Cricetulus griseus: one gene and its partners. The protein of the gene in region 7 interacts with the protein of the main gene of each other region in a pairwise test. Links are inferred from orthologs where the notes say so. Each region holds a gene or a part of one and is shown on either strand. Other genes may lie near its edges.

What was found.
Region 1: the proteins of Rbpms (region 7) and Csn3 interact in binary tests that used the Homo sapiens proteins (3 or more experiments, as listed by UniProt). The two-hybrid records come from large-scale screens. The link is inferred for Cricetulus griseus from reciprocal best matches to the Homo sapiens genes RBPMS and CSN3.
Region 2: the proteins of Rbpms (region 7) and Rdh12 interact in binary tests that used the Homo sapiens proteins (3 or more experiments, as listed by UniProt). The two-hybrid records come from large-scale screens. The link is inferred for Cricetulus griseus from reciprocal best matches to the Homo sapiens genes RBPMS and RDH12.
Region 3: the proteins of Rbpms (region 7) and Rhobtb3 interact in binary tests that used the Homo sapiens proteins (3 or more experiments, as listed by UniProt). The two-hybrid records come from large-scale screens. The link is inferred for Cricetulus griseus from reciprocal best matches to the Homo sapiens genes RBPMS and RHOBTB3.
Region 4: the proteins of Rbpms (region 7) and Sh3rf2 interact in a two-hybrid assay, tested with the Homo sapiens proteins (2 studies listed by BioGRID and IntAct). The two-hybrid records come from large-scale screens. The link is inferred for Cricetulus griseus from reciprocal best matches to the Homo sapiens genes RBPMS and SH3RF2.
Region 5: the proteins of Rbpms (region 7) and Zbtb32 interact in a two-hybrid assay, tested with the Homo sapiens proteins (3 studies listed by BioGRID). The two-hybrid records come from large-scale screens. The link is inferred for Cricetulus griseus from reciprocal best matches to the Homo sapiens genes RBPMS and ZBTB32.
Region 6: the proteins of Rbpms (region 7) and Neu4 interact in a two-hybrid assay, tested with the Homo sapiens proteins (2 studies listed by BioGRID and IntAct). The two-hybrid records come from large-scale screens. The link is inferred for Cricetulus griseus from reciprocal best matches to the Homo sapiens genes RBPMS and NEU4.

Annotation. Positions count from the first base shown.
Region 1 is NW_023276807.1:153,111,602-153,115,958, forward strand, and holds the start of Csn3 (kappa-casein), read left to right. Parts: upstream 1-1,462; 5' UTR 1,463-1,463; coding exon 1,464-1,520; intron 1,521-3,853; coding exon 3,854-3,886; intron 3,887-4,357. UniProt on the Homo sapiens protein: Kappa-casein stabilizes micelle formation, preventing casein precipitation in milk.
Region 2 is NC_048598.1:124,423,010-124,427,304, reverse strand, and holds the start of Rdh12 (retinol dehydrogenase 12), read left to right. Parts: upstream 1-1,375; 5' UTR 1,376-1,415; coding exon 1,416-1,605; intron 1,606-2,044; coding exon 2,045-2,200; intron 2,201-2,959; coding exon 2,960-3,064; intron 3,065-3,870; coding exon 3,871-4,080; intron 4,081-4,295. UniProt on the Homo sapiens protein: Retinoids dehydrogenase/reductase with a clear preference for NADP. Displays high activity towards 9-cis, 11-cis and all-trans-retinal. Shows very weak activity towards 13-cis-retinol.
Region 3 is NC_048595.1:297,015,147-297,018,650, forward strand, and holds the end of Rhobtb3 (rho-related BTB domain-containing protein 3), read right to left. Parts: intron 2,681-3,504; coding exon 2,565-2,680; 3' UTR 580-2,564; downstream 1-579. UniProt on the Homo sapiens protein: Rab9-regulated ATPase required for endosome to Golgi transport. Involved in transport vesicle docking at the Golgi complex, possibly by participating in release M6PRBP1/TIP47 from vesicles to permit their efficient docking and fusion at the Golgi.
Region 4 is NC_048595.1:195,855,418-195,859,714, forward strand, and holds the start of Sh3rf2 (E3 ubiquitin-protein ligase SH3RF2), read right to left. Parts: upstream 2,804-4,297; 5' UTR 2,714-2,803; intron 1,435-2,713; exon of another isoform or gene 987-1,434; intron 616-986; 5' UTR 509-615; coding exon 131-508; intron 1-130. UniProt on the Homo sapiens protein: Has E3 ubiquitin-protein ligase activity. Acts as an anti-apoptotic regulator of the JNK pathway by ubiquitinating and promoting the degradation of SH3RF1, a scaffold protein that is required for pro-apoptotic JNK activation.
Region 5 is NC_048602.1:5,237,468-5,241,946, forward strand, and holds the start of Zbtb32 (zinc finger and BTB domain-containing protein 32), read left to right. Parts: upstream 1-1,589; 5' UTR 1,590-1,808; intron 1,809-2,686; 5' UTR 2,687-2,785; coding exon 2,786-3,651; intron 3,652-3,848; coding exon 3,849-3,922; intron 3,923-4,203; coding exon 4,204-4,368; intron 4,369-4,479. UniProt on the Homo sapiens protein: DNA-binding protein that binds to the to a 5'-TGTACAGTGT-3' core sequence. May function as a transcriptional transactivator and transcriptional repressor. Probably exerts its repressor effect by preventing GATA3 from binding to DNA.
Region 6 is NC_048595.1:445,312,262-445,316,658, forward strand, and holds Neu4 (sialidase-4), read right to left. Parts: upstream 2,868-4,397; 5' UTR 2,856-2,867; coding exon 2,655-2,855; intron 2,551-2,654; coding exon 2,295-2,550; intron 1,084-2,294; coding exon 104-1,083; downstream 1-103. UniProt on the Homo sapiens protein: Exo-alpha-sialidase that catalyzes the hydrolytic cleavage of the terminal sialic acid (N-acetylneuraminic acid, Neu5Ac) of a glycan moiety in the catabolism of glycolipids, glycoproteins and oligosacharides.
Region 7 is NW_023276807.1:51,013,617-51,016,551, reverse strand, and holds the end of Rbpms (RNA-binding protein with multiple splicing), read right to left. Parts: intron 823-2,935; coding exon 691-822; 3' UTR 572-690; downstream 1-571.

The DNA of each region.
Region 1 (4,357 bases), about 100 Mb from region 7:
TTGAAAAGAAATCCAACTCCTAAAAGGAGTCTAAATTAGTCTAATCTCATCTAAAAATTTTAACAAAGAAATACTAGTTTTCAGATGATGATTTGAAAAGATAACTGGAAAACAAGAAATCTAATAAAGAATTCAATCCACTCAAGGAAACATTTTACTTAGGTTGTCCAAACTTGATTACACATGAGATATTTGCAATTCAGTGATCTCTTAGAGGTGGGGCTAAAGTCAGTTTAGCAAATGACCTTTCTAATCCTCTGAGGCTGACAACAAGAGAGGCAAATGGGGTCTCATATTCTTTCCTTTTCCCTCCTGTGGGGGGGGCAATCTTGGTCTTGATTCTGAGACTCTTATAAAGCTTTTCCATAACTCAAGTTTATACAAGTATAGAAAGAATAATAGCTACAGTAAGACATGGAAGATTCCCTTCACAAATACAATATATAGTAGTAACATATTAAAAGACTGAAGTGTTATTATCTAAGAACTATTAAAATTACACAAGCAGACAGGCATTGTGACTCTCTTAGAAAAAGACTAATTGATTTCTTAAGATATCTCAAAGACATTAAAATTGCCATATCTATATGTCTTATTAAAGCAGTGAAATTGATCATATCTCTTATTACTGGAAAAGTAAATTTAGATGTTGACAAATGCTGTTTCCCAGAAGATCTATCCCATGTCTGATATATTAATTAAGGGTCACAAAATGTTAGAAATGACCCAATTTAAAGTCCTGCTTTTACAGATAACAAAGGTAAGGCCTAGAAAGAGGAAATTATATGCTCAAGGTTACACAGGCAAGTTCAAACTCAGTCTGGTCACACTGAACTATTTTCTGCTCACAGAGCCATGCCTCAGTCTTTAACATAGAGCACTGAAGTCTTTACTTCTAGATTTTAGACTTTCTACGTTTATCCTGTCTATCACTTCAATCAAAATGTCTATAGGTGTTCTCAAAGCTTACCCTTCTTTGAAATGTTTCTCTCTCTAGCAAATTCTTTTGAGCAAGTCTTGCCTCACAGACTCTGATGATTATCTGAAATGAAGATTTCTGCTGATAACAGCCCACCTTTGTGACATTCCCACTTGTTCCTTGTCTTGTGGTTTGTATGTATCGTAATTTTCTCATCCTTAAGAGCCCATGCTGTTCATTAGCAAGACCTAGCTCTAGTTTCATAACCTCGATGTTTGGCAGAGCACATATTCTCAGTAGGCTTTTATCAAATGAACAGATGATTACATTGTAATGATAGCTTCGTAAATAACCAAAAATTATCTTGAAACTAATTTTGCTTCAAGTTTGCTGTTTCTCCACTTTTGAGAAAATAGGTTCCCAGCACTGGCTAAATCTACCTATAAATTCAGAAGGTCCCCCCCCCTTAGGAAAACATTGCATACAATCACTTCTAGCTTGTCAGCAAAAGAGTCTTATTTTTTTTAATTTATTTTTAGGTGCAATGATGAGGAATTTTATCATAGTTGTGAATATTCTGGCATTAACTCTGCCCCTTTGGGTAAGTTAACTTCAATTCAATTTTCTATGTAAGATGTTAAATAAATTTTATTTAAGAGTTCCAATTGTATGAATATCAAAATAGAAGCACTTCAAGGAGTGTAACAGTTGGTTAATAGTTTTTCTATGTTTACTTATATCATAAAAATAAATATTCTTCTAGATATCCATTTGGTTGCCATAACACATACTGCATTGTTCATAGAAAATCTTCCAAATTCCTATACTATAGAGATCTGTTTTTAAATTAGAAAATGCTGTAAATATAATTCATAAGCCATAATGTAGGAATCCTAGTCCAGTATCAGAAATCCTTTTGATGAAATTCTGTCCCTCCCATCCTCCAGCCTCCTTATGGACTAGATGCTTAAATACTTTAAATACTTAACTTATTTCTCATGATTTCTCATTCTGTAACTCTGCTGCTGAGGTGCAAAACCCAGATCCCACAGTAAGTTGATATTATCTCTATTAGAGACCTGAACTCATTTTTTTCTTTTCTTTTTTATTTAAATTAGAAACAAGCTTGTTTTACATGTCAATCATAGTTCCCTCTTCCTCTGCTCCTCCCCTGCCCCCCACTTACCCCCATCTCATCCCCTTTCTGCGCCCCATGGAGGGTGAGGCCTTCCATGGGGGATCTTTAAAGTCTGTCATATCATTTGGAGCAGGGCCTAGACTCCCTGTGTCTAGGCTGAGAGAGTATCCCTCTATGTAGAGTGGGCTCCCAAAGTCCATTCATGTACTAGGGATAAATACTGATCCACTACTAGAGGCCCCCTAGATTAACCAGACCTCCAAACTGACATCCATGTTCAAGAGGTCTACTCTTAAAACTAAATAAATACTTTAATGTTTCAATAAGTTTAAAAGACCTTCAGGCTTTCTAGGACTCCCATTACTAACTTTTGTGTCACTCTTTCTTATTTTGTGGCCTGGCCAAGCCCTTACCAGGTATCCATATCCATAATTATTTCTATGGCTGGTAGACATGGAATGATATTTTATGTTTAAAGGTGAATCATGTAAAAGGGTCTGTTTCTTTTATCTTTTTAGCTAATCTTCACTGCAGTTTATGCTTTCTTTTCACACTCATTCTGCAGTTTCAAGAAATGCATCTGCCAGCAGCCAAAGTGGGGGGGGGCAACCTAGAGAATACTGTGTGCCCTCTTGTTAAGATTATAAAATTTTTAGAGTACAAAGCATTTGATTAAATTATTAAATGTAAACATTTGTCTAGTAAACAATACTTTTGAGTCAATTCTTGGGGTCAAAATTACCTTTAAAATTTTACCATGAGTTTAGCATTTAGTTACTTTCATTGATTTGTTGAAATTTTGTTCTTGGTTTTTTGGCAGTCAATTGCATGTTAAGAACTTGGATTTTCTCTTTGAGTAAAAGGATGTAAGTTTAAGTCATAAGATGAATCCCTTCCTGTTCTACAGCAATTCTAGAATTATTGGGAGTTTATAACAAACTCTCCTTTCTTATTTCTTTATTAAGGATTTTTAATTAGTAAATGTTAGTTGTTCATAATAATGTGCTTCATCATGACAGTGACATACATATGCAAAATGTATTTCGGTCACACTTGCCCTCATTTACCCTCTTGTCACTCCTACTGTTTTGCTTCCTCTTCTCAAAAAGTCCCTCTTCTACTTCCTATCGTTTTTCTAAACTTTACTTTTCTTATTCTTAAATTTTTATGTGTGTAAACAAAACATAATTAAGAGAGGTATGTGTAAAAGATCATTTACATGAATGTGGTCAACTTACATGAGTGTGGGCAACTTACCAGTGGCTATGCCTCTGAAGACATGCCTCTTCTAAAGAGGTTTCAATTGTATAATAGTTCACACTCTGGACTTTGAAAATGCTACTTCCTCTCACAGCAACAATTAACTACCAACAGGTTCTCGGGGATAGGGGAGTGTTGTGAGTCACCTCCATGCTCCATGATGGGATTTGGACAGGCGGCATCTTGTGCAGGTCTTGTGTAGACAATCATAGCTGCTGAGACTTCCAGAGTATGAAAGCCACATCCTATCTGGAAGACAGATTTGCAAAGGTTTCAAGTCACAAGAGCATAATGAAATAATTCAAAAGAAAAGAGGTTTATAGATTTTACCATTCAATTTATGAGCTGCCAAAAGCAGATGAAAATTGCAATGTGATTCTTTCTTTTATGTGCTAATTAAATACTTACATCAATGTAAAAATGAGTATAATATTCATCTTATCTTTAATACAATAGTGAAATGGAAAACAAACAAAAAATCTCTGTTTTGATTTTTCTCCCTTATTATTTCTCATTCTTTTTCCCTAACCCCTCAGATTTCAGAGGTGCAAGGTCAAGAACAACTGGCTGTAAGTCTATTTTCAATTATTTATGACTGAAATATAATTTATGTAAATAATAGTCTGCAAAAAAAATACATTCTGATTTAAAAACTAAAAAAATTATGTGCTCTCCACAGAATCAACTGGTACCTTTTGATAAGTGAAAACACCACTTAAACAAGATATATGAACCAAACTGGATGTTTGCCTGATAGCCTTAGTTTCTTTGACTGGCCCAAGTTGTGAGGGCTCAATTGCATGTTTACTTGGCTTATTCTCCATGTGGAGTACTTAAAGGAAAAGAACAAAAGTAGAACTTAATGTCTGTCTGCCTACTCTATATAGTTCAGTTGGAGAAAACATCTTGCCTGACTCTTCTTTAAATCCACCTCATTTGCTCATATTGATGTCTCCTTTTGTTCTAAAATGTGTTTGAAGGAATACATTAGCTATTTCTTTTTATGGGAAAAGTTGCTGTGCACATAACTTTGTTGTTTC
Region 2 (4,295 bases), on a different chromosome or scaffold from region 7:
GTTAGATAGACATACTAGGGTTAGAGTGTCAGAGTGTTATACCCCATCCTGACCACTTTTAGAAATGACTTGAACATCTTTGGGCTTCAGCTTTCTCCTTTGTAATATAGAAATAATGTTGAAATGGCTGAGGAGATTAATATAAATTACATATGGAAAGATAGCATGTATGGCCAGTAACTACCTTGGGAAAGATAGTGAGTGTAGAGACTGTCTACCCTGGGGTAGACAGTGAGTGTAGGAAGTGTCTGGCCTGGGATAGATATTAAGTAGAAAGTCGAGCCTGGGATAAACAGTGAGTATAGAAAGTGTCTAATGTGGGACAGACATTGAATGTAGAAAGTCTAGCCCAGGGTGGACAATGAGTGTAAAAAGTGTCTAACCTAAGAAAAGACAGAAAAAGCAGAAAGTGTCTAGCTCAGTGTCTGTCAGCCAGTGATGTTCAGGAAGTGTTCTCACCTCTCTGGTCTTGTTTTCAACAAGAAATTTTTCTCTGTATGCCAATGGCCTAAATAAAACCCTTAACACAATGGCAGGAAAAAGAAAGAAAAGTCTCTCAGGATGCTCTATTCTCTAAAACTGAAGAGACAGCTGAGGGGTGATAACTTACATGTGTCAGCCCAGATGGTGTTCACCAGTTCCTATGGTGACTATTGGAGCCACAGGGCTCAGGGCTATTGAATCCACTAGTGTTCATCACCCATGTGTTTCCAATGTGGGTCAGCGGAGGAAGCTGAACTATAGGAATCTAGAGATTAGATTGAAATCTTTGTTACCTGATAAATGATGCCTTCATTGGCTCAGGAGCACTTTCTATGCTTGTTCCAGTGACTATTATCTGCTTCTGGACACATGACCTTCCCAACTATGCCCATGGGCTGGCTACTACTTTGCCCAATCAAACAGTGGACCATGCAAATTAACTTCTTTTTTGCTTGTTTTTCAAAACAGGGTTTCTCTGTGTAACCTTGGCTGTCCTGGCACTCTGTAGATCATGCTGTCCTGGAACTCAAAGAAATCCACCTGCCTCTGCCTCCCAAGTGTGGGATTAAAGGTGTGAGCCACCACTGCCAGCTCAAATTAACTTCTTTTTTTTTCAGATTTTTAAAATTTGAATAAGAAACAAGATTGTTTTACATGACAATCCCAGTTCCATTCTCCCTCCTGTCCTCCCCTACCACCCCCCAACTAAAACCCTACCTATCACATATCCTTTCTTCTATTCTTCCCCTGACTCAACCTTTCTGCTCCCTCATGACCTCTGCATCCTTCCTCTTCTTCCCTTCTCATTCTCATAGCTCCCTCCCCCCTCTTCCCATGTTCTCAATTTACTCAGGGGATCTTGACTCAAATTAACTTCTTAAGATGACAACGTTTTATGACTTCGATTTAAAGCCCTCCCTCTTTGGAGTTCCATGGCCTCATTTTATGCATCTCAGCATGAGAATGGGAAAATTGTGTCTGATTTTTGTTCATTTGGTGACAGGAAGTTCTTTGCTGGTGGAGTTTGTACAACGAATGTGCAGATTCCTGGGAAGGTAGTGGTTATCACAGGTGCCAACACAGGCATTGGCAAGGAGACAGCCAGAGAGCTTGCTCGAAGAGGTGAGTGTTTTCCCTGTCTCCTCAGAGCCACACCTCCTGCCCTCTTCAATGGGGTCCTGCCTGGATTTCCTTGTCTTTCTTCCTGGGCTTGGAGGTTCTGATGGGATTAGAGGAAACTGGAACCCAAGTCCAATGTGACACTAATTTACTCTGTCTTTCAGCATAGCTCCCTCCTTCCTGTGCCTTCCCTACTTCGGGGAGTAAAGAGAATGTTGTCTCTGTGTAATATTAGTCAAGTCCTTTATTCTAAGGTAGATACTAAGCAAAATTAAATATTAAGAGTGTAAAATGAGGCTTCTCAACTGCGCTGTGAGAACCCGGAAGTGGCAGTATGGCCACTCCCACTACCATAGGGACAGCTATGAGTGTGCTCTACCCATCAGCTGCAAGCTCACTTCCTGTACCTCTGCACACATTGCCCTTTCTACTTTGGCTCAAGGAGCACGAGTATACATTGCCTGTCGAGATGTACTGAAGGGAGAGTCTGCTGCTAGTGAAATCCGAGCAGATACCAAGAACTCCCAGGTGCTGGTGCGGAAACTGGACCTATCTGACACCAAATCCATTCGAGCCTTTGCTGAGGGCTTCCTGGCAGGTAAGGTTCCAGTGAGTAGCCAGGAAGGCAGGGAACTAAATGTAGGGATGGCTGCCCCTCCCAGGACCATATATGGCCCTTTCATCATACCCATGATCCCACTGGACAGGTTCAGCCACATGAACCAGCAGGACAGGGAATTGGCAAAGGGATGGCAGGGGGACAAGCTGGGCAGGATCTTTATCAACGTTTTGCTCCACAGTGGGAATCTTGGAGGTTTCATCTCCATGTCTGAGCTTGTACCATGGCACAAGGTGTGGCCCTGATGCTGCTCTTTTCTTTCATCCAGAAAATCAACCTTCTGTGGTTACAGGCACTCGATGAATTTGTGCTATTGTCAAAATGTTCCAGTGTCTTGGGAAAGTACCAGCATCTACCAAGGACTACAGGTCCTTGAGGGACAAGATCTAGGTGTGCCTTGTTTTCCCAGGGCCCATCAATGTGTGTCTGGTCCAGAGTTGGTGGTTGGTACACATTGGTCATATAAATGAACAAATGGTGTCCGGGAAGGTTATCAGCAAGGAAAATCAGAAACCCAATGACAGTGGTGATTCTATAACATGCAGATGGGTCCAAATGGGGAATAGTTATTGACTTCTGAGGCAACATCTTATCTTAGAAGACAGGAGAAAGATAAGTGATAACCGTGCCTAGCAAAGAGTGTTCATAGGTGAAAGTCAGGGACAAACACTTGAGACAGTGACAGGTGGCTAGAAGATGCATTGTTAGTCACAGGATCTCCCTGATTGTACTCAACAGAGGAAAAGAAGCTCCATATTTTGATCAACAATGCAGGAGTGATGATGAGTCCATATTCTAAGACAGCAGATGGCTTTGAAACCCACTTGGGAGTCAACCACCTGGGTAAGTGTCTTTGTGTGGCTAAAAAGTGTGTTATAACCCACCGTGTTCTCTGTAGGAAGATGGCCCTGCAAAATGCTCAGGATCTCCACTGATCCTCATAGAGTCTTGTAGGGTCCTCATGGGGTCCTCATGGGATTCCTCTACAAAAGACACATTGCTTGTTTGCCCTTTTCTAAGCAGTCAAAAATTGTGACTCTGTGTTTCTATTCAGAAGTCCCCATCTCAGAAGATACTAGGGGGAAAAGTATCATCCTTAAATGGTCTAGTGGCAATGCAGGGCTTGCTGGGCAGGGCCAACCAGTGAGTATTTAGGGATCTGGATTTGACAGGGGCAGTGACATCCAATGAGAACCAAAGGAAACCTTGTGCTGGTATGTGGGGGTGAGTGAACCTTGATAAGTTGATATACAAGATAGATTGGTGTTCAGAGTTCAAGATGAAGGTTCTAGTCAGGGGAGCATGTGGCATATCCCTAGGTCCTAGGCAAGTGTCCTTTTCCCTGACTACTATAGCCTTCTTTCTGTGTGAGTAGATGAGGACCCATAGTTATACAGAGAAATTAGAGGCTAGCAGGTGGGTATATAGACAGTAGATTAAATATCATTACTACCATCTAGCTTTGATCCCTGCTTTGGAGAATCAACTAACTTAGAGCAAGTGACCATTTAGCTTGGAGTGACTCATGGTATCAAACTTTATTCACACTCAGGGGACAGTGAGCTAATATGGAAGTCCTGTCATGGGTTTCCATACCCCGAGCCTAGAACCATTCTATCCTTGAGTTTTACTTTTGGATTTCTTTGTAGGCCATTTTCTTCTTACATACCTGCTTTTGGGGAGGCTGAAGGAGTCTGCACCTGCACGGGTGGTAAACCTATCCTCAGTGGCCCACCTTGGTGGCAAGATCCGTTTCCATGACCTCCAAGGGGAGAAACGCTACTGCCGTGGTTTTGCCTATTGCCACAGCAAGCTGGCCAATGTGCTCTTCACTCGAGAGCTGGCCAAGCGGCTCCAAGGTACGTGTGGAGAAATAATAAAGTATTTTATTATTTAAATTATAATATCAGGATCCTTGGGCCAGCTTATAGGTTCATAGAAACTTCTGGAACCAGGCTGTTGAATGTACACATTTTAGTGGTATTCTGTATGGTCCAGAGAATGATCTATGATAGCTGTGCTTTTTTTTTTTTTAAAGTGAGTTTATTAAATATCTACAAAATAATAGAAGAAT
Region 3 (3,504 bases), on a different chromosome or scaffold from region 7:
TGTACAGGGGTGGGCTTCAGTCACTGTGCCAGTGCTCTCTATTAGAAATCTAGTCCCCTGTAGTAGGACTGGGAGGAAGTAGCCAGCAGCATACAAAGAATGCACAATAGGATGCAAACCTGGCCCTGAAAGAAGGGGCCTTAGTTCTACTACACAGTATGCTCTCTAACTAAGATACTTGGTAAATATATTGAAGCAGAAATTTTGCAACAAAGCATAAAGTCATCTAGAAATAATCCTTTGATTAGAAAACAACCCTCAAAACCAACACTAATTTAGCCATGATCATTTTAAGTATTTGAAAATTTTCACCACTTCCAGATGAGTAGATTCAACAGTGCTGAGGGGTCTGTATTCAAATGTGCTTAAGTACGCATTTATATTCTGACACACAGCTGCCCCAGTCACTCTCACAGGTAGTGAAGAACTTCCACAATAAACACTCTAGACCACCCATTTCCAAACTCAGCTCCTACTCAGGAGAAACACCCTAGAGGAACCAGTTATGATCTATTTAAATGTTAAAATACTATTTCCAGGAAAATGTTTTGTTTTTCAACTCCTATTTTTCAATTTCCTAAAAGTTTGGAATTTTAAATGCTGTGATTAGCACAGAGGGTGAGCATATGCTTCTGAGTATCAAAAGGCTACCATGTGATCTAAAATTGCAAAGGAACTTCTAGGTATTGCTATATTCTGTTCTTTACAATGCTAAGCCACCAAATGGGATGTGCCAATAGTTGAATAATTCAAGTGATTAAAATACAAAACCAAAATTCATTCCAATAATCTTCACTGACACAGCACAATTAATATGAGCTTTCTTGGGATTCTAGCTAAAAGAATTCTTTCCCATTATTTTGACAGTACTGGTACACACAAAAGGGCTTTTTGCATGTAATCCTAACACTACAGGAAAGACTGTTGAATCAAACTTTTGAAAAGTTGGAGAAAATATGCATATTAAAATCACTGGAAATTAGAAAAGTATATCCCAGTACTAAATTCCAGATGCCCACGATGCTAACACTAAACAGTGATAGGCTTTTTCCTTGCCTAAGCTTTTGTGCATCCTGCAGAATCATTTCTGCCAACATGTGATATGAAATAACTAACTCAGCTTTCCCAGCCAACTGTCTCTACATCTAGCAGGTCTTTGATTTACATCCTTTCTTTTACCTTCCTAGGTGGCTTTGATATTTCACACCAGATATCCTTTCAGTCCTTGGAAAGAAGTCAATTCAAGCCACCGACATCCTAATCTTAACAGATAAAGTTAAATGAAAGAACTCTTAAGCTTTTGTAGCCAAGTCTCTACAAAGCATCTTTCCCTGTGATTGTCTTTGTAACTGTGTATTATAGTCAGGCTACTCAGTCACTCCTATCAACTTCCTGGCTTCACATATTGATCAAGTTTTTGCTCTTCCGGGATAGAGCCAGAAGTGAGCTAGTGTCCCAAAGCCAAGAAAAAGCATTTCTTACTGTCAGGAGAGGTCACTGTGGAGGCTAGGTACAAGCCTCCCCAAAGGAGGGAATCTCCACTCTGCTCTCCTGGCATCTGCAACTCTTCTGTTTCTCACTCTTAGGAGTGAAGTTTGAATAAGAAAAAAGCATTTTCAGCCAGGCAGGGTGGCAGCACTCCAGAGGCAATGGCAGGCAGATTTCTGTAGGTTCAAGGCTGGCCTAGTCTACAACGTGAGTTCAAGGACAGCCAGGGCTGTTGTACAGCGAAACCCTGTCTGGAAAAGAAAGAAGGAACGAAGGAAGGAAGGAAGGAAGGAAGGAAGGAAGGAAGGAAAGAAACTGCATCTTCCCTGATAGGAAATATATATAATTTTGGGAAGCCAGTGCAAAGTAAAAATATGAGGCCCTTCTCCAAACATTTGTAAGAATTTAACAGCTGTACTAGCAGAGCACTAAACCAAGTGCCAGACCTTTCTAAGTGTGGGAGCCTGCAGAATCCAGAAGGTTCCATGGAAGTAACTACTATCCCTGATTAGGTTTGTGGCTGATTAACGAGCAGATGCGGTTAGATAGTCCAGATGCAGCAGTTGTTCCTCATTATATTGATTGATTGATTCAAACACTTTTACTGGACTGGAACCAACTGGTATATAACTGTTACATGGCAAATTTCTATTCCCACAACTTCATGCCCCACTGGTTAGCACTCCCCCGAATTCCAGTTACACCTGGCTTTTGAATGGCCCTTATTTTAGCAGAGCAATCAGTCAGACATAATGAAATTTTTGTATGTAGCCTAGATGATTTTTTTTCAAAAAATTAAACATCTCTTAACTACCAGAGGTCTTAGTGTTATTAGAGCAATGGGGCAACCTAGAGGAGAAGCCACTGTCCAACAGTCTTACATTCTAGGGGAAGCACTGAAGTCTGTAGACTGTGCTTCCTTTTAAGACTGCCACAGTCCTTCAAAGATAGGCAATAAGAAGCTGTATGGTGACTTTTTAAAATACCATACCGATTTAGTTATAAGAATTTTACTGGAACCCAGAGGTACCCATTCTTCATAATAATAAAAAAGTGTATGTATACAAAAGCGCAGGTCACATGACTAAACAGCGGCATTTCCGAGAGTGGATATACTTCCTATACTCCGCCAGCTGCTTCAGGTACATGTTTGATGGCCATCTGTGCTTCTCAACAAAACTTCGTTCTTCCACTAAAATTTTAAGGAGAAAAAAGTTAATTGCATATGCCTTATTTTTTGTCAGGATAAAATACAAATGTTTGACCACTATGTGACAGAGCAGTTCACTCTGTTATATTCCACATCCTTCCCATAACCTTCCAGAATCACTTAGAATTTGGATAAAAGAAGCCATCAGGATTTATACTACTATGCAATTTATGATGACATGCACTGTTCCACCAAGTAGTACTTGACTTCTTTGAATAAAACTTTTGTTTTTACTGGAGATAACAAATTCATTTTTTTCTTTGTGGATAACTTGACCTTTCAAACTCTATAAGGTCTTCCTGACTCAACTTCCCATCCAGTGACAGTCACCAGCTGAACTATTGATTCCCGATGTTATTACCTATGCTCCAGTGTCTGCCATATTGTAAGTTCCTGGGCTTCAGGCTTGCTCCTCTAGCCTCCCTGTACACTGTGCACTCTGGACCCACTTTCATAGAAACCTGCATTGCAGTCCAGGCCCTTACCCTAAGCTTAGCTACACACAGAGTCTACAAATCTATGATTCGTTGGGCTAGGATTCTCTGCCTTCCCATTTCCTGTAAAGTTGCCTCCACTAATTGGAGGGAGGTCTACCAAAGCTCTTTAGTCAACATTTATGAATCCCATTGTTGAGGGCCCAGGCTTCATCCTGCCTCCGACACGCCTAGTACTTTAAACACTTAAGGATTAGGGATCTCTTCCTTCCGTGTGCACTTGCATTTCATACTTATCTGGCTGTTTAACTTCATGGGCATGTGGGTTAACAAGATCCCTGTTACAGGAACTAAAAGACAGTTTTTAAAAAG
Region 4 (4,297 bases), on a different chromosome or scaffold from region 7:
CCAACTGGGGAATCATCTCCAGCACTCTGGTGAAGTCTGTCCACGTGAAGAAAGTCTGTTCCCTAGCTCTCGGCATACACACGACCAGCCTCAAAATGCACATGTTATGAGCAAGCAAGTTTTTTCTTACCCCATCCATGTGGATCCTAACACTGGGCACCAGCCGGAAAGGGCTGGCCTGTAGACTTCTGGGGCTGGTCTTGCTTTTCCTGCTGTCCTGCAAGGTCAGTATGCGAGGCCTGCGAAAGGAGCCCCGTTTCCAGGAGTTCTGCCCGGAGCGCACACCATCCAGCAGACGCACCAGCAACAGGTTGGCTGGCAGAGCCTCGATGCTGCAGAATACCAGGGTCCTGCATTCCGGGCACCGCAGCTCCTTGTGGGCCTTGAAAATCCTCTGTAGACATGGTTTGCAGAAGGTGTGCTGGCAGGGGAGGACTTTGGCTGTGACATCGAGCTTTTCAAAGCACACGGGGCACTCCAAGAGATCAAGTAACGTCAAATCATCCATTTTATTTTAAAACTCCAGTCCCGACCTGGAGAAGCAGGATTCACATTGTAGCGGCAGCCGAGTCGAGGGGGTAGAGCCAGTCTTTCGGGAGCATCAGAATTCCCTGCCTGTTTGAAGGAAGGAGGAAAAAAAATGTAACTGCCCTGAGAGGTGTGTCCCACCTACATGGAGGCTGTGTCTTGAGAGGCAGCTGCAAGCACTTTGTTCCGGGAGCTTCAAGTGACTCATTCTGATTCAGTCTTGCAGGTTAGAAGACTTGTGCCTGCTGCAAGAATCTGAGGGAACTCTGCACAGTGACTGAGTGCTCATTGCCTCTGAGCGGAGGACCCCAGCAAGGAGAGAAAACTAGCCTGCTCAGGCTGGGAGCTGCTTCTCTGCTGGAAGGACTGGAGGAGTGCTTTCTCCTGCCTGGTTCACAGTCAGTCTTAACTCAGACTAAGGCCCTGACAACACAATTTCTGTGAGGTTATCTACCTACCTTCCCTTCCTCTCCACTAGATTGGCTTGTCTTCTATCTGTAGCAGAGTAGATGAGCTTAGGGAAGTGTTTATCGACTCCATGCAGATGTAGACTTCTTTCCCTCCAGTAGATCTCCCTCCACTATTTTGTTCTAGCAATATACAAGAAAAATTCCTATTCCCCGATATTGTTTTGACTTTACCCTGTCACGTCCCTCTTCCTTCTTCCATCTCCTCCCCTCTTCCTTCCATGCCTTCATCTGCCCCAGGTTAGTGTAGTGCCAGAGATAGTCTTCCTCCTACCAGGTGAGGTCCTGTGGCCTGTTTAGTTGCTTTGACAATTGTGCTGGCTGGCTTTCAGCTGCAGCAGAAAGGAATTCAGGCTTGTGGTCACAGCCTACAGAAAAAAGCCCAGAGGAAGCAGCATGCACGGGCAGGGAGGGAGGTGTGTGTGTGTGTGTGTGTGTGTGTGTGTGTGTGTGTGTGTGTGTTGTGTCTGTGTGTCTGTGTGTGTGTGTGTGTGTGTGTGTGTGTGTGTGTGTGTGTGTCTGTGTGTCTGTGTGTCTGTGTGTCTGTGTGTCTGTGTGTCTGTGTGTCTGTGTGTCTGTGTGTGTGGTCCGAAAACAATCCTGGTTTTAGAAACAGTTTCATTTCAGATGCCTGAGAACCAAGTTTCCGGTTTTGAAAGGTCTCTTGGGTACAAGTCAGCCACGCCCAGGCTCCTGTGACTGCCGACACCGGACACCGCGGGTGGGCTTGGCAGGCGAGCTGGTGGCCCCCAGCAGTTAGCGTGACAGATGTGAGGTGTCCTGAACAGAGATGGCACCTTGGGGCGGCCGGGTGGGGTGGTGGGGTCTGTCTCCAAAGTTGTCGGCGCACTGGAGAGGTGCATGGGACCACTAACCTTGTGCCTATAATTTCAGGTGCAATCTTTTCGCCCCTTTCTGGTCTCATCTGGGGCTGCTCCTTCTAACTGGCTAGCCGCCTTTCCTCCCCAGGGCTGGGCGTCCGAGCAAGCTTTGAAAACTTCCACAAAGTCCTTCCAGTTTCAAGGGATCACCTTACCCAACCCTGTTAACACTGTCGCTGCCAGCAGCTGCCTGCCAGCCCACACACCGCGGCTGACCCATGCTTGATGTCACCGCAGCTAGAACCGAGCAGTGAACAGTTTGTGGGCCCATGTTCCCCATTTTCTCTCCCATTCAAGCAGCTTAAAGTTGCTTGGCTAGAAACGTGCCAAGTGCTAGTGCTTATTTTTAAACCTTTATGAGGATTTGCCGAGAAGGTCAAACATATTAATGATAGCTGTGGTTCAAAGATAAGGCATCCTCTTATAAAATACTGGTCTTAAAAGTGATAATCACTCCTTGAATGTTGAGATGAGAGAGGCTTCAGTAATCTTTGGCTCAGTTTCTTCCAATTAAAAAAGGAGTGGGGTGTGTGTGCACATACTTTGAAAATCAGACCACAGGAAGATCTTTTAAAAAGGCAATAGTAATGATCCCAGATCTGCTCTGTCTGTTACTTCCTGTAGTCATCCCACACCCCTTAAATGATGCTAAAGTTCCATTTTTGACTTATCAGTAATGTACTCATGTGCAGTCGCAAAACAGTCCAGTTGAGCAAGTAGGTGATGACGCTACGTAACATCAAGGTGGCCCCCTGTGTGTGTCAGATACTATTCTAAACACTTTCCTTGCATTTGCCTATTTAACCCTTTCCCCAACTTGAAGGCACTACAGTTTACCTTAACCAGCCAGATGAGGATGCTGAGATGGACAGGAAAGCTAGTCATCCAACGGGGGGCAGGTGGTCTGTGCTCTTAATTACTGTGCCATGGAGTGAGCAGGCTTTAAGAGAAGAGAGGGTTTGAGGACACCCAACCTCATCAGGGATGGAGAATATGGCAAGAAGTCAGGAGATAATGACTCAGATTGACCAATCAGCATGCCTTGCAGATGAGGCAGCTATGCCCAGAGAGATCAAGAGATTCTCTCAAGTTGCCTGGTGAGTGAGGGTAAAGCTGCAACTGGAAACTGGGTCTTCTTCTTCCTTTCCTCCTCCTCCCTTTCTCCTCCTCATCTTCTTCCCTTTTCTTCTCCTCTTCCTCCTTCTTTTTCTCCATCTCCTCCTCCTCCTCCTTCTTTCCCCTCTCCTCCTCCACCACCACCTCCTCCTCCTCCTGGTATCTTCTGATTGGATGGGTGGGCCACACTTGTAATCCCAGTACTGGGAGAGCAGAGGCAGGAGAATCATGATTTTGAGGCCATCCTGGCCTATATTATGAGAATCAGTCCCCCATCCCCCAATACAAGTCAATTTCCCTTTCTTTTTTATTTCTTTATTTTTCCCCTATCCTCTCTCTATCTATTGACTCTTCTTATGTTTAAGCATGGGGACAACAATTCTTTGAAGGGGCATAGGGGATTGAACCTTGGGATTCATACTTGCTAGCAAGGACTTTACCAGCGATCCAAATGCCCTGCCTGATGGTAATTCTTTATCACAGGAAATCACTTAGACATGGCTCCTTGGGAAATCTTAGGAAGGAATCAAGAAGCCTTCGGTCATTTGTCTTTCTTGTGTTCTTCCATGTCAGTTTAAAAAAATTTAACATGCATGAAACTCAGAATGAAGGAGATGTTTGGAAGCAGCAAGTGTAGTCTTCTCTTCTGGTCTCAGGCCTTAATTCCCACACATGTCCACTTCAGAGAACTCTTTTCAAATCTGCACTTCGAGCTTCAACAGCATTCCGTCCCATTCCACTTTGCCGTGTCTATCTATGAGGGCAGTTTGAAGCTCTCTGCAGATCCTTCACTCTCATTTCCTCTCAGGAGAGCTCAGCTCCTCTGTGAACTGCCCTGTAGTCTCCTTGCCTTCTAGAGAGTGGACTCCAACAGTAGCTCTTCTGTAGCAGGGTTTTGCAGTGTCCTCTTCTTCCCTCTATGATTCTTCTTTCTTCTTCTTTTTTTTTTTTTTTTTTTTTGGTTTTCGAGACAGGGTTTCTCTGTGGCTTTGGAGGCTGTCCTGGAATTAGTTCTTGTAGACCCAGGCTGGTCTCGAACTCACAGAGATCCACCTGCCTCTGCCTCCTGAGTGCTGGGATTAAAGGCGTGCACCACTAATGCCTGGCTTCCCTCTATGATTCTTAAAAACATTCCATCTTCCTGACATACCCTCATCTGTACCTACCTGCACAAATACACTTGCACAAGAACTACATATGTAAACATGGAATATCTAAAACAATGATAGAAATGCTATAGATAACTTGATGTATGACAGATACGAGTGAGAAAACTTTAAGCAAATTGTCTCATTGGGTCTTTCA
Region 5 (4,479 bases), on a different chromosome or scaffold from region 7:
GAGCAGCCCCCACTTCTTGGTCATCAGTGGGCACAGCACCAGTGGGGCCGCTGAGTCACTGGCAGGGGAGGAGGGGCTTCCTCCTCAGGGTGACGAGGCTGTCACCAGACCCCAGTACCTTTCCCTCCGCAGCTGTGGCTTTGCCCCACTTCTTGTTTTTAGAGACTGGTTTTGTGTTGGAGAAGTTTTGTCTGTTTGCACACCTAGTGGAAGGATTGTCATTTTGTGTCTTTTTACATGGGAGAATCTCGTGTGTTCCCAAGTGTGTGATGTCAGGAATTAGAAAGCCCAGAAATGGAAAATATGTAACTTTCAGGGGAGCAGATGAACACAAGTTGCCATTTGCATTTTCCCTTTCGCTCTGACTCATCTTCCCCTATCTCCACCCTACTGCCCCTTCGCCAGCCTCACCCACCGACACACCCTGTCTGACCTAGGAGGGGCTGACACCTGCCTGCATCCAAGCTAGAATGGGAGGGAAGGCATCCTAGGCCCGGAGGGAGAGAGTAGAAGTCTGGTCTGAATACCCTGGAGCCCTGGAGCCAAAGGGAGAAAAGCAAATGTTACCCCATTGGGGCTAGGAGGGGCCGGAATCCAGGGAGAAACCTATGGGGACCGAGACTGAATCTTGTCACCACAGCGTCTACCAACGTCTGCCTAGTTTCTCTTTTAGCTGTTTATTGTACCTATATGAATACCAGACACATGCCACAAATATCCCAAGATATCTTCTCAGGGAATGGAAAGATCAGCTTAGGAATCGGATTAATAGAATGGAAAAAAAGGAAAAAAAAAAGAAACTGAGTCTCAAAGGGTTTGTCCCTTCCTCAAATTACAGAGTGTCAGAAATGGGTGTGGTGGCACTGGCTGAGGCAGGATAGACATTTCAAGGACATCGTGAGCCACACAGGAAGAGGAGAAGAGACGGTGGTGCTAAAAGCGTGATAAGAGGCGGAAATCTCCAGGGATCTTGACCCCTTGGGCAGAAAGTGAAAGAAGCCCCTGGTTTTGATTTCAGAGAAATGTCATTTGTCATCAGCCCAGGAAAAGGAGATTTTTCTCTTCGAAGACCACCACAGGCTTCCTGGGGTTGCCCCCCTCAGAGTCTGCTTGGAGGATCTGAGTCACACACACACACACACACACAACCCCAGCCCTTGCTGTGGTCCAGAGGACAAGGGTCAACCTCACAGAATAAGAGGGGCTCAATGTACCCAGCCAGGGAGAGAGGAAGGAGGCATGGCCCCCAGTTCCCCCGTGCTTCACATTCTGCTTCAGGCAGAAATGGTCTGCAGCTACTCCACACGTCTGTCACCTCTAAGACAGACCGAATAGCAGCTGAATGCTAGGCTGTACTGGCGGCTACTTCCCTATGCATGGCCCTTGGTCTTCACCCCTCCTCCAAAGGACACCAGTGGTATTTGACGCATGAGGAGACTGAGGCTCAGACAGATGACTTGCCCAAGGTGACTCAACTAGTAAATGGCACAAATGAGGCTCAGCCTCTGACTGTTCCAAAGTACCTGTGGCCACAGTTGATGTCTTTGGCTCTAAGGAATTGACAAATCACAGAGTTAGGTGAGGAGGCAGCCTGGGTTGTTAAAAGTAGATGGGTAGCCTCTGGCAGGTCTCAAGCAGAGACAGAAGGTATAAAGCCACACCCCTTTGGGGGGGACTGTGGCAGACTGATACTTGGGATGACTGAGGACAGGGGTGGAGCTAGCTGGGGTGGGGGGCAGGAGCCCCAAGAGCAGTATCGAGCATGCGAGCATGCGAGCATGCTGCGGTGCTAGGAGGCAGCTACAGAGGTGAGTGTTGTCTCCCGGAGCTGAGCCCCCTCCATTCCAACCATTTCTGTGCAGTCCCTGCCAGCTGGCACCCTTCACCCCAAGGTGTCCAGGTAGTAACCCTCCCTCCCTCCCTCCCACAGGGCCCCGGCTCACGGAGGGCCTGCATGCACCGGGGGTAGGCCTGCTAGGTGCTAAGACACTTGGGCTATTTCTTGATCTGTCTGTCTCCAGTATCCTGGAGGCCTGTGATGGTTTTCTTGTGTGTGATTCAACCCTCGACTTATTGGGCACTTTCTAAACCATTCGTTAGCCTCATTTTGTTCTCCAGTTTCCCTTTCCTTTTTCTCCTTCCACAGGCACCAGAGCCTTCTCTAAACCTCTGGTGTGGCTCTCTCAACTCGCTGGATGGCAATCTCTAGTCTTCCTCATTCCTTCTCTGTGTGCTAGAAGCTCCAGCCTCGGAGTGATGCCTAGCACCTGCTCTCCCTGCCTGGCTGCCTGCGTAACCTGTCCAGCTGTCTGGGCTCACATTGTGGGAAGACCCACAAGCTTTTTGAGGTCTTTCATGAAGTGGCATCTTACTCATTCATAAATGCCAAGTTTTGTGAGGAAAAGCCCAAGCTGCTCAGTGGGTCTTCCCTGCAAAAGAGCCCGGGGAAGCAGCAACCTTTAAACCCGAGTTTGCTAACTGTACGGGTCCTAGACCCCACTGCTTGCTACCTCTGCTAACTGCCTGGCTCTTGCTCCTTAGGCCCCAAACCTGACCCAATGTGGATGGATTCTCTTCCCGCTGCTTCCCCAGCTTGCCTTTGACTTGGTTTATATGACTCATTCAGGACAGACAGCTCCAGTCTGAGACTGGAGAGTCACTCCTCTTTCTCCCCTCCCCTCCACAGGCCTGAGAATATGCGGTTTCTCCCTCCCCTTTCTGCCATGGACCCCCCATTGTGGCTTTTCTGTCAGAGCCTCTGAAACTGGTAGATTAGTCGAGAGCAATGCCCCAGACCCCCACAAGGCTGATCAGCCCCTATGGCTCTGATCGGTTGGTGCAGTTAGCGGCTAGGCTTCGGCCAGCACTGTGTGATACCCTGATCACTGTAGGCGGCCTGGAGTTCCCTGCCCACAGCCTGGTGCTGGCAGGTGCAAGCCCGAGGCTGGGATGCAGGGGCAGGTGGGCTCTGGTTGAAGGCATCAGCCCTTCTACCTTTGCTCAGCTGCTAACCTTTGTGTATGGAGAGAGCGTGGAGCTACAGCCTGGGGAGCTGGGGAACCTTGAAGAGGCGGCCAGAGCCTTGGGGGTGCAGGCCCTGGAAGAGGCATGCAAGCGAGCTCAAAGGGACAAGAACGAAGATGAGCTGCATGGAGGACTGAAGAGGCACCAGGTGTCAGAAGAACTCACGAGGAGTTCTGAGAGAAGACCGGGGGGTCCTGGAGAGAAACAGAGCCCAGAGAAGGATTTTAGGAGTAACAGGAAAGAACAGGAGACGTTACACAAGCGCAGAGCACCCGGAGAGAGCCCTGAGAGGGCAGGGCTAACTAGGAAGATGAGAGCAGAGGAGGCCCTCAGCTCAGCCCCTGGGGGCCACAGGGGAGCAGAAAGGAAGCAAGGAGAGGCCATACAAGGTATAGAGAGCCCTGAGGGCTCTGAGGAGTGTCTTCGTGGGTGCCCTGGTCCCCTTTCCCTACCAGGTTCCCCCCTAACCAGCCTCATTCCCAGGCCCTGGTGGGCTGAGGCCCCTTGGTTGGGAGAGGGCCAACCTGGCCTGTGGAGCATCTTCCTGTGGCCGCCCAGATATGGCATTCCCTCCTCCCTTAGCACCCCCGTCACTGCAGCCTGGCAGGTCTGGCCTCAAGACCAGAGGTGAGTGAAGGGCTTAGTGGAAGGTATCTAGGCTGGGGGGGCTTTAGCTCAGGAGAGGCAGCAGTCATGGGTGGGAGGGAACCACGTCTCCATACGTTTGCTAAGTTAAGGAGACAACAAAATATTCTGATCTTGAGAGAGGCCAGAGCTGGTTAGGTTCTCAGGCTTCGCCAAGGCTGTAATTCTTCTCCACCCAGGATCCCACTGACCTTGAGCCACTCCAAAGGTCTCTGGAGTCAGAATCAGCTGGCCTCCTCTAGCTCCACTCCAGGTAAGCCCCTCATTGTTCCATCCAGGGCTTCTGCACAGCAGCTGGGCTCCAGGAGTCAGGCCTTAGCAGGGCCCCTACTTTACCCTACTTGCAGGATCCTTTCCCCAGGGCCCTGAACAACTCAGCCCTTGGGAGACAAAAGAGTCTGGGTAAGGGTACACAGTAAGCAGGGCGAGAGAACTGCTACCTCAGGGTCACCAAAGCTCTCAATTTCTTGCCTGGATGTATTGACTCAATTCAGGGATTCTGGTCATGCCATCTTGACTTCTCTGTCCACACAGGCACACTGGCAACCTGTGTGGGTCAAGAATGCACACTGAGCTGTCCATCTCACCAACACTCTGCTTTACCCCTTCCTGCTCGCTCCCGGCCCTATTCTTGCTCTGTCTGTGGAAAGAGGTTTTCACTCAAGCACCAGATGGAGACGCATTACCGAGTCCACACAGGTATGGGCATACTGCCCAGTGTGAATTTGTCTTTTTTGTTCCCATCGCTGGGCTGCCAGTTCCTCCCTTGCCCCATTGCTCGACACACCCCTAGCTTGGCCAACCTTCGCC
Region 6 (4,397 bases), on a different chromosome or scaffold from region 7:
CAGTAAGGAAGACACTGTCCATCCCAGGGTCATGCTGACTTGACCCAGCCTCTTCTATACACTCTCCCCTTCCTCCCCAGGTGCCTGCCAGAGGGCCAGGCCATCAAGAGGGCCAGCAATGCCCCTGAGGCTTGTCCCTGGGGCTGCGTATCTCTAGGCCAGTGGGTACATTCTCCAGGACATCAGCCAATGAGAACAAGCAAAAAGAGATGTCTTCGTAGGAGGCCCTGATCCCGCTCTCAAACAAACAGGCAAAGGCCAGGGACGCCCCAGGCACAGCCCCAAGGAACGCTAGGTCGGAGTAGCCACTGGGGCCCTCATAGATCACCCAGGGATCTGTCCAGCTATGGGGGTCCAAGGGGGACCGGCTCAGGTAGATTCCCATGTGGAGCCGAGCTCTACGCTCTGACGGGTGGGAATACAGCAGCCATGTGGGACTCTGAAGCAGGGAAGCAGAGGACACAGGGAGTTCTGGGCTCCAGACTGTCTTATCTCCACCTGGCCCAGGTTCTGAGCCATGATTCCCTAGACCCCAGGTCTGTGGGGTGCAGAATGGCCCTCTGGGAACCCAACCTTCAACAGGACCCCCAGCACCTTCCCCTGAAGCCTCCTGTACTCTGAGATAGAAGCATGGGGAATGTGGGGTATTCCCAGGACCCACGGGCCACCGGTCATCCTGAGGCCTGCTGGAGGGTGGGGCTGGGAAGCCCACAATGCTACCCTGGCAGCCACGGGCAGTTTCTGCCAGTGTAGGCACCAGCTCCCCTGGCAGGAAGGAGGTGCCCTCATCAGCACTCAGTGCCTGCACCCGGTTGCCCAGAGGGCTCCGGGCATTGCAGTAGAGAAAGTCTCCACCCACGGCAGCCAGTTGGCACTCTCCAGAGCGCAGGTTGGGCACAAGGCCTCCACAGTGCCAGGAGATTCCATGGTCATCACTGTAAAAGGCCAAGGAGTGGGGACTGGTCCAGCAGATCCTGCCGAAACACTCTCGGCGGTCCACGTGGTAGGTGTAGGCAGGGACAAGCAGGCGACCTGAGCGCAGCTGAACTCCATGGCCTGGACCCACAGCAAAGGTGGCCCAGTCTACAGAAAGAAGGAGCCAGAACCTTGGGTTGGGTCATCTGACTGCATAATCCTGGGAGCCTGCTCGGTCAAATGCCTTCTTAAAGTTTTTAAAAGACTTATTTTTAATGATGTGCATTGGGGTTGGGGGGAGGCTGGAGAGGTGGCTCAGAGAGTAACAGCCCTGGCAGCTCTTCCAGAGGTCCTAAGTTCAATTCCCAGAAACCATATGGTGGCTCACAACCATCTGTAATGAGATCTGGTGCCCTCTTCTGGCCTGCAGGCATACATGTATACATAATAAATACATCTTTAGTTATGTGCATTTGGAGGGTGTGCACATAAGTGCAGGTGCCCATAGAGGCTAGAGGTGGCAGATGCCCTGGAGCTGGAGTTACAGGCAATTGTGAGCCACCCAATTCAGGTGCAGGGAACCGAACTCCAGTTCTCTGCAAGAGCTGTAAGCCATACAAGCTCTTCACTCTGAGTCATCTCTCCAGCCACTTGGGAGACTTTTGCTTTTTGTTTGGGGGTGCAAAGCACAGAAACCGGGCCAAACAAGTGGTCTACCACAGAGCGGTTCCCCAGCTGTTAGCCAACAGAGGCTTAATGATCACCAGCAGAGCTCAACTTCTGGAGCAAGTGCTATTACACAAGGGTGGTAAAGGGAGGAGACCGTGGGTGAGGTTTTTGGATGTGCCCACTGTCCTTGTCCACCTCCCAGAAGCTGCCACACCCCTCTAAGTAGCAGTCATGGGCCTGGTCCTGTAGCCCCTAGGGCCACGCCTATCAGCAGGAGTCGGGTAGTGAAACAGAGTCAGCAACTGCAGGTGGGGACTGCAGAGGTGGAAAAAATGACGGGGGCCAGAGACCAGGGCTGGATGAGGAGGAGGCGAAAAGCAAAAGGAAGTGGTAAAAGAGAATAAGAGCCCCAACCCTCTCCTCTACAGACCAAGACAAAGGGAGCCCCTGGTGGGCTTTAGCTGCCGCCCTGCCAACACTGAAGGCGCTTGGGGAATGCCAGACAGTCCTGGAGACAGTGTTAGGAAGTCATTGCTCTTGGGGGTTGTGGGGCAAGAAACTGAGGATAGGAGAGGCAGAATGAAGATTTCCAAGTGACTGGTGGGCCTATGCAAGGGTCAAGCCCAAGCCCATCTTGCCCTGTCCTGTTCCTACCCACTCAATTCCTCCGCCCCACACCACCAGCCCATCCCACACCAGGTGTCACCTACCCCGCAATGCTGCACCAATGACCTCCTCAGTGAGGTCTCGCACACTGCCCCAGGTGAGGCCCGCATCACAGCTGGTCACACAACAGAGCCGAGCAGCGTTCTTGCCAGTGGCGATCTGCACGGCCTCGGGCGTGTGGCCCAGCACCGCAATGAAGAAGAGGAAGATGGTACCCGAGTGTTCGTCCAGCACCGGGCAAGGGTTCATAGACCTGTGCCCCTCCAGCACCGCAGTCTCCAGCACACTCAGGGTGCCCCACTAAGAAAAAGAGGCAGCTGGTCAAGACATCTGGAGCCTGACCTTAGTCTCCAGAGGGATCAGTAGAGCTGGGCTTCCGTTTCCCCTCAGCGCTTTGCACTCACCCGCACTGAGCCCTTGGCCAGTGTCCCCCTCCTCAGCACCAGGCGGTGAGCATGGGAATCATCAGGGCTGAGTCGCTGTTCTGCAAAGGCCAGCAGGGTAGGCCTGGGAGGCACACTGAGCAGCGCAGGCACGCGGTAGGTCAGGCCCGTCCTCTCCCGCTGGAAGAGAACGGTCCTTCTGGGAACACGCGAGGGCCCCATGCCCTTCAGGTAGGAGCAGGACACCTGGAATCTGTTGGGGAGGAGGCACCACAGGTTTACATGGCCACAAGCCAGCCCCACAGACACCTGCCCTCTTGATGGCACTTTCCAATCTCCCTCTCCCCAGACTTCTCACAACCCATCTGCAGACCCCTCACAGCCACTGCACCCCAAATATCTATAGAGCAGGCCCCTTTGTTCTCTCCAAGCTGCTCCTTTGCCAGGCTAACTGGTGCTGGGGAGCTGGGCAGAGAGACCCCACATCCTTCCAGCTGGTGTGTCCTGGACACATATCACCACAAAACTCGCCTACCAGGAGTATGGGCAAGTGGACAAAGTCAGACAAAAAGGGGGAGGGGGGCTCAGTGTTCACAAATATGGTATGTGAGACCAGGGAAGGCACACCACACGGCAGAGGCAGATGAAACTGGAAGGTACCCACATGGAAGCAGAAGGGAACTCCAGAAATCTCCACAGAAAATAGCTCAGACATAGGGCATGCGCCCACGGGATCCCTGGGCTGGCTGGTGGTTTGGAGAACAGCAGAGCCCTCTCCTGCAGCATCCATACCAAGCTCTCATAGGCACCAGAGAGAGCCAGGGGCAGGGCAGATCAAAAGGCAGCAAAAAGAAAGCCAAGGACACCAGAGAGGTCCTTGTTTGGCCCTAAATTGATTCCTCCCTGTCAGAGCAGGGTCATTGCCAGGCTGATGGAGCAGAGGAGCGGGTGGCAGCATTCCAGGCCAGGAGGACATGCTGAATGAGGAAGGACAAAGGCCTCTCTCCGCATGGCCCTCGCTGTGCTGTCTGCCCCTGCGGCCACTCCCTAACCTCACCCACAAGCCAAGGTCAGGAGGCTTACGGTGTGATCTGCCTGTGAGCAGCTTAGCCCCTCTTGTCCGTACCCCCACCCTCTGCATCCTCATCTGTGGGACTCTAGACTGAGCTTGGAAACACTTCCACATGGAACTGAAGCCACAGGAGGGTGACCAAGCAGCCCCAGGGCATATTTCTTCCCCACTTAGCCTCTCAAAGAAGGACTAGTGGGAGATAAGTTGGGGACATGACCTGGGCCTGCCAGGTACCACTGTCTGATTTGCACAATGGCAGACGAGAAGATGAGTGTATATAGCTGGTGTGGGGTTGTTGGGAAGGCAGGGCAAGGGGTGCATTACCAGCAGGACACGAACAGTCAGAGCTCACAACCGTCTAGGCCAGACCACCACCAGCCAAACAACTCATGACCAGGCACCCCAGGCCAAACCAGAGCCACACACACAGCCCACACCAGCCACTCCTGACCAGCCTACCACAAGCCATACAGAAGTAATAGCAGCCAGGCGTTCATTGGTGGTGCACGCCTTTAGTCCCAGCACTCAAGAGGCTGAGGCAGACAGATCTCTGAGTTCGAGGCCAGCCTGGTTTACAGAGAGAGTTCCAGGACAGGTTCCAAAGCAATACAGACAAAAGGAGGAGGAGAAGGAAGAGGATGAGGAGTATAAGGAGGAGGAAGAGGAGGAGGAGGAAGAGGAGGAGGAGGAGG
Region 7 (2,935 bases):
AGGGTGGGAGTTGAGAGAATCTCACTAAAGCCCAGGCTGGCTAGGACTCTGCCTCCCAAGAGAAGGGATTACAGGTGTATGCCACCATTAATTAGATCAAAAGCAATGGGATTTGATGGTACATAAGTACCATTAAACCAGAGAGAGAATTGTAGCTCATGACTAGATAGAACCGAACTAGAAATGGGATCCAACTCAATAACGGAGGTCCCATTTTGGGGGTCTTCCCTTCCTTGGGAACAGAGCAGGCACACAGCAGTATGTGTCCCCTAGCTAGATCTGGCAGCCTTGTTGGTGCTGATGCAAGAACTTCTGGTAGCCGATGACCTGTTGGCACGAGGATCTTCTAACATGAAGCTCAGGGTGGTTTCGGAGCTCGAGAAGATGGCAGCGGCATCGATGAAGCCCTGGAGCTGGGCGCAGTCTTCTAGGGTGCTCTTTCAGAATCTGCTCCCGTGAAACATGCAACTTAGCTTCTACGGGCCAGGTACTCACAAACTCAGCCAGAGATTAAATACTTTTGCTCCAAAATTGTAGCACCATGAAAACAAACTCTGTAGTCTACTTGAGATCATTTTCCCTCTGATTGAAATTTTTATTGAAATCTCTCAAATATCATCAAGAAATAGTTTTTTGTTTTTTTGATTTTTTTTGTTTTTTGCAAAAGGGGGGTGGGGGTTGCTAACAATTTCAACATGGGAGCTCCCTCTGCTGGTCTGCAGTAGGCTGATATGTGACAAACACATTCCCAGAGACAAATCTAATTTGCTGGAGAAGAGGACAAAAGACAGGTGTGTTGGGCTTTGCCTCTGGAGAGAAACACTAGAAGAAAAAAAAAAAAATCCATGTCTCAAAACAAAGCACAACATTGCAAAAAATAAAAAATAAAAAAAAGCAAAATCAGAAGAATCTCCAAGACACTCAGTTTCCAAAACAAAACCCCAGGCACCTAGGAAGGGGCCCCCACTCTGCTCCCCTCTAGTCAGTATTCTCGGAAGCCATCTTGGCCTCCAAGGCTCTCCTGACAGATTTCCCATTTACTTAGAAAAGAAAGTTCCAAGAAATCGCTGGAGCAAGGCCTCTCCAAAATTCCATCAAGAGTAAAAGAATTAGGTGAGCTGGCGCCTTGCTGTTTTAGCAAGGGAAGCAGGTGACAGACCTGCTCTAGAACTCTAGAACCACTGTGACTTGGGACAACTCTCCATCTCCTCAGGCCCTGTTCCCTGTCTGTGTAACGGGCTGGATCAGTTGTCTGCAAAGCTACCAGTTCACTCCAACATGGACAAATACATTTATTAAGAATGTTCATTTAAATGACTCTACAGAAGTGAGACTCGACATGGATCTCACCACCAGCAGATCGGAGTTCCACCAAAGGTAGGGCTGATGGCTGAGTTAGGAGGACTGCAGGCTGGGGAAGTCTCAAGAGAAGGGGGTCGTGTGGGTGATGTATGCCAACGAGGCACACGCCGTGATGCATCTAATCTTGCACTGGGTCTCCATCCCTCCTCACAGGGGCGTAGGCTTTCTAAATCTCCCAAGACCCTTGTTAGAGAGCCTTTACCCTCCATATCCTGCAAATAATTCCAGATGTCATGTCACATCATGACCAAAGCCAGTCTTCCCAGGTCTTTCTGGGCATTAGCAAGCCTTGATTCTCCAGGCAGCAGTGAATGGCTCTGTTGCCCGATGTGCAACCTTGCACTGTTTCATGGTGTGTACTGCTAATAACCCCAACAGTTGGTTGCTCTGTTCCTGAACCCTAAGCAAGAAGGGCATACCTGCACACGAAGTGTGGGGCACACAAAATGGGGACTTTATGGACCTTTGTTGTCAACAAAGTTATCCACAGCACAAAACCACTAACGACTCAGCTAAAGACAGCCACCACCTAGCTGCTCCTGCCTGCTACCTGGCAGTCACCAGGGTTACTGAACACTGACCCATGTAGAGACACCGGGCAGAGGGTGGAAAAGCAAAAGGCACACCTGATCCTTGACTTCAGTTTGTTTCTTGAACCAAGGCAAGTCACTGCCACCTCTGCACTTTTCCTAACTCCCCACACTGCTTTGTACCCCCTCCCTGAAGAGGACAGACAATATCTGTTCCCGGGCACAAGACAATGGGGTTCCCTTTGAACTCTGTCTGCCTGAAGCAGATGATGCCCCAGGGAGAACAAACAGCTAAGGAAACCAGTTGCCAATGCAGGCAAAAAGCACTGGAGTCTCAGATAAAGAAAGGTTGGCCTGCAGTACTCTTGACACAGTGGATTGGGAACACTCTCTGGGGCTGCTCCCAGGCCTCTTAATCAGGACATGAAGGGGTATCATCCAGCCTTGGAAACAAAGACCATGCAAAATAAACACCCCCCCACACCTGACCAGTCTGACAATTTACAAAGATTTATAGTATTTGTTTAGTTTGGGTGTCTGCACGAGTACTGGTGTGGAGGGCAGGGGACAACTGGCAGAAGGCAGCTCTCTCTTCTACCTGTGGGTCCTGGGGATTGAACTCAAGCTGTCAGGCTTGGCGGCAAGTGCCTTTGCCCAATGGGCCATCCTACCAGTCCACAGCCAGCAATTTTTAAGAGGCCAGGTTGAGTGGCATATGTAGTAAGACAGATAGAACCTATATTTTACTTGTCAATGGCCAGCAATAATTGTCATGGGCTGACTACATGAGTGGTTATGCCAAGGGTGAAGCTCGGGTCTCATTATTATCCTCAGCTCTCAAAAGAACCATGGCTTCCAGGGAGAGGAAGAGCTGGTATGCCTCTCCCTGTATTTGGAGGGGAAGCAAGGAGTTTGTTTCTAAAACCCAGGCTGAGCAATATGCTGCGGAGATCTACCCTTGACATGGACCTTTGTGCACATGGCAATAAGCAACCTTGTCTTCCCTGCAACTCCCATAAGATCAGGCTTCCTCTTGGAAGCCT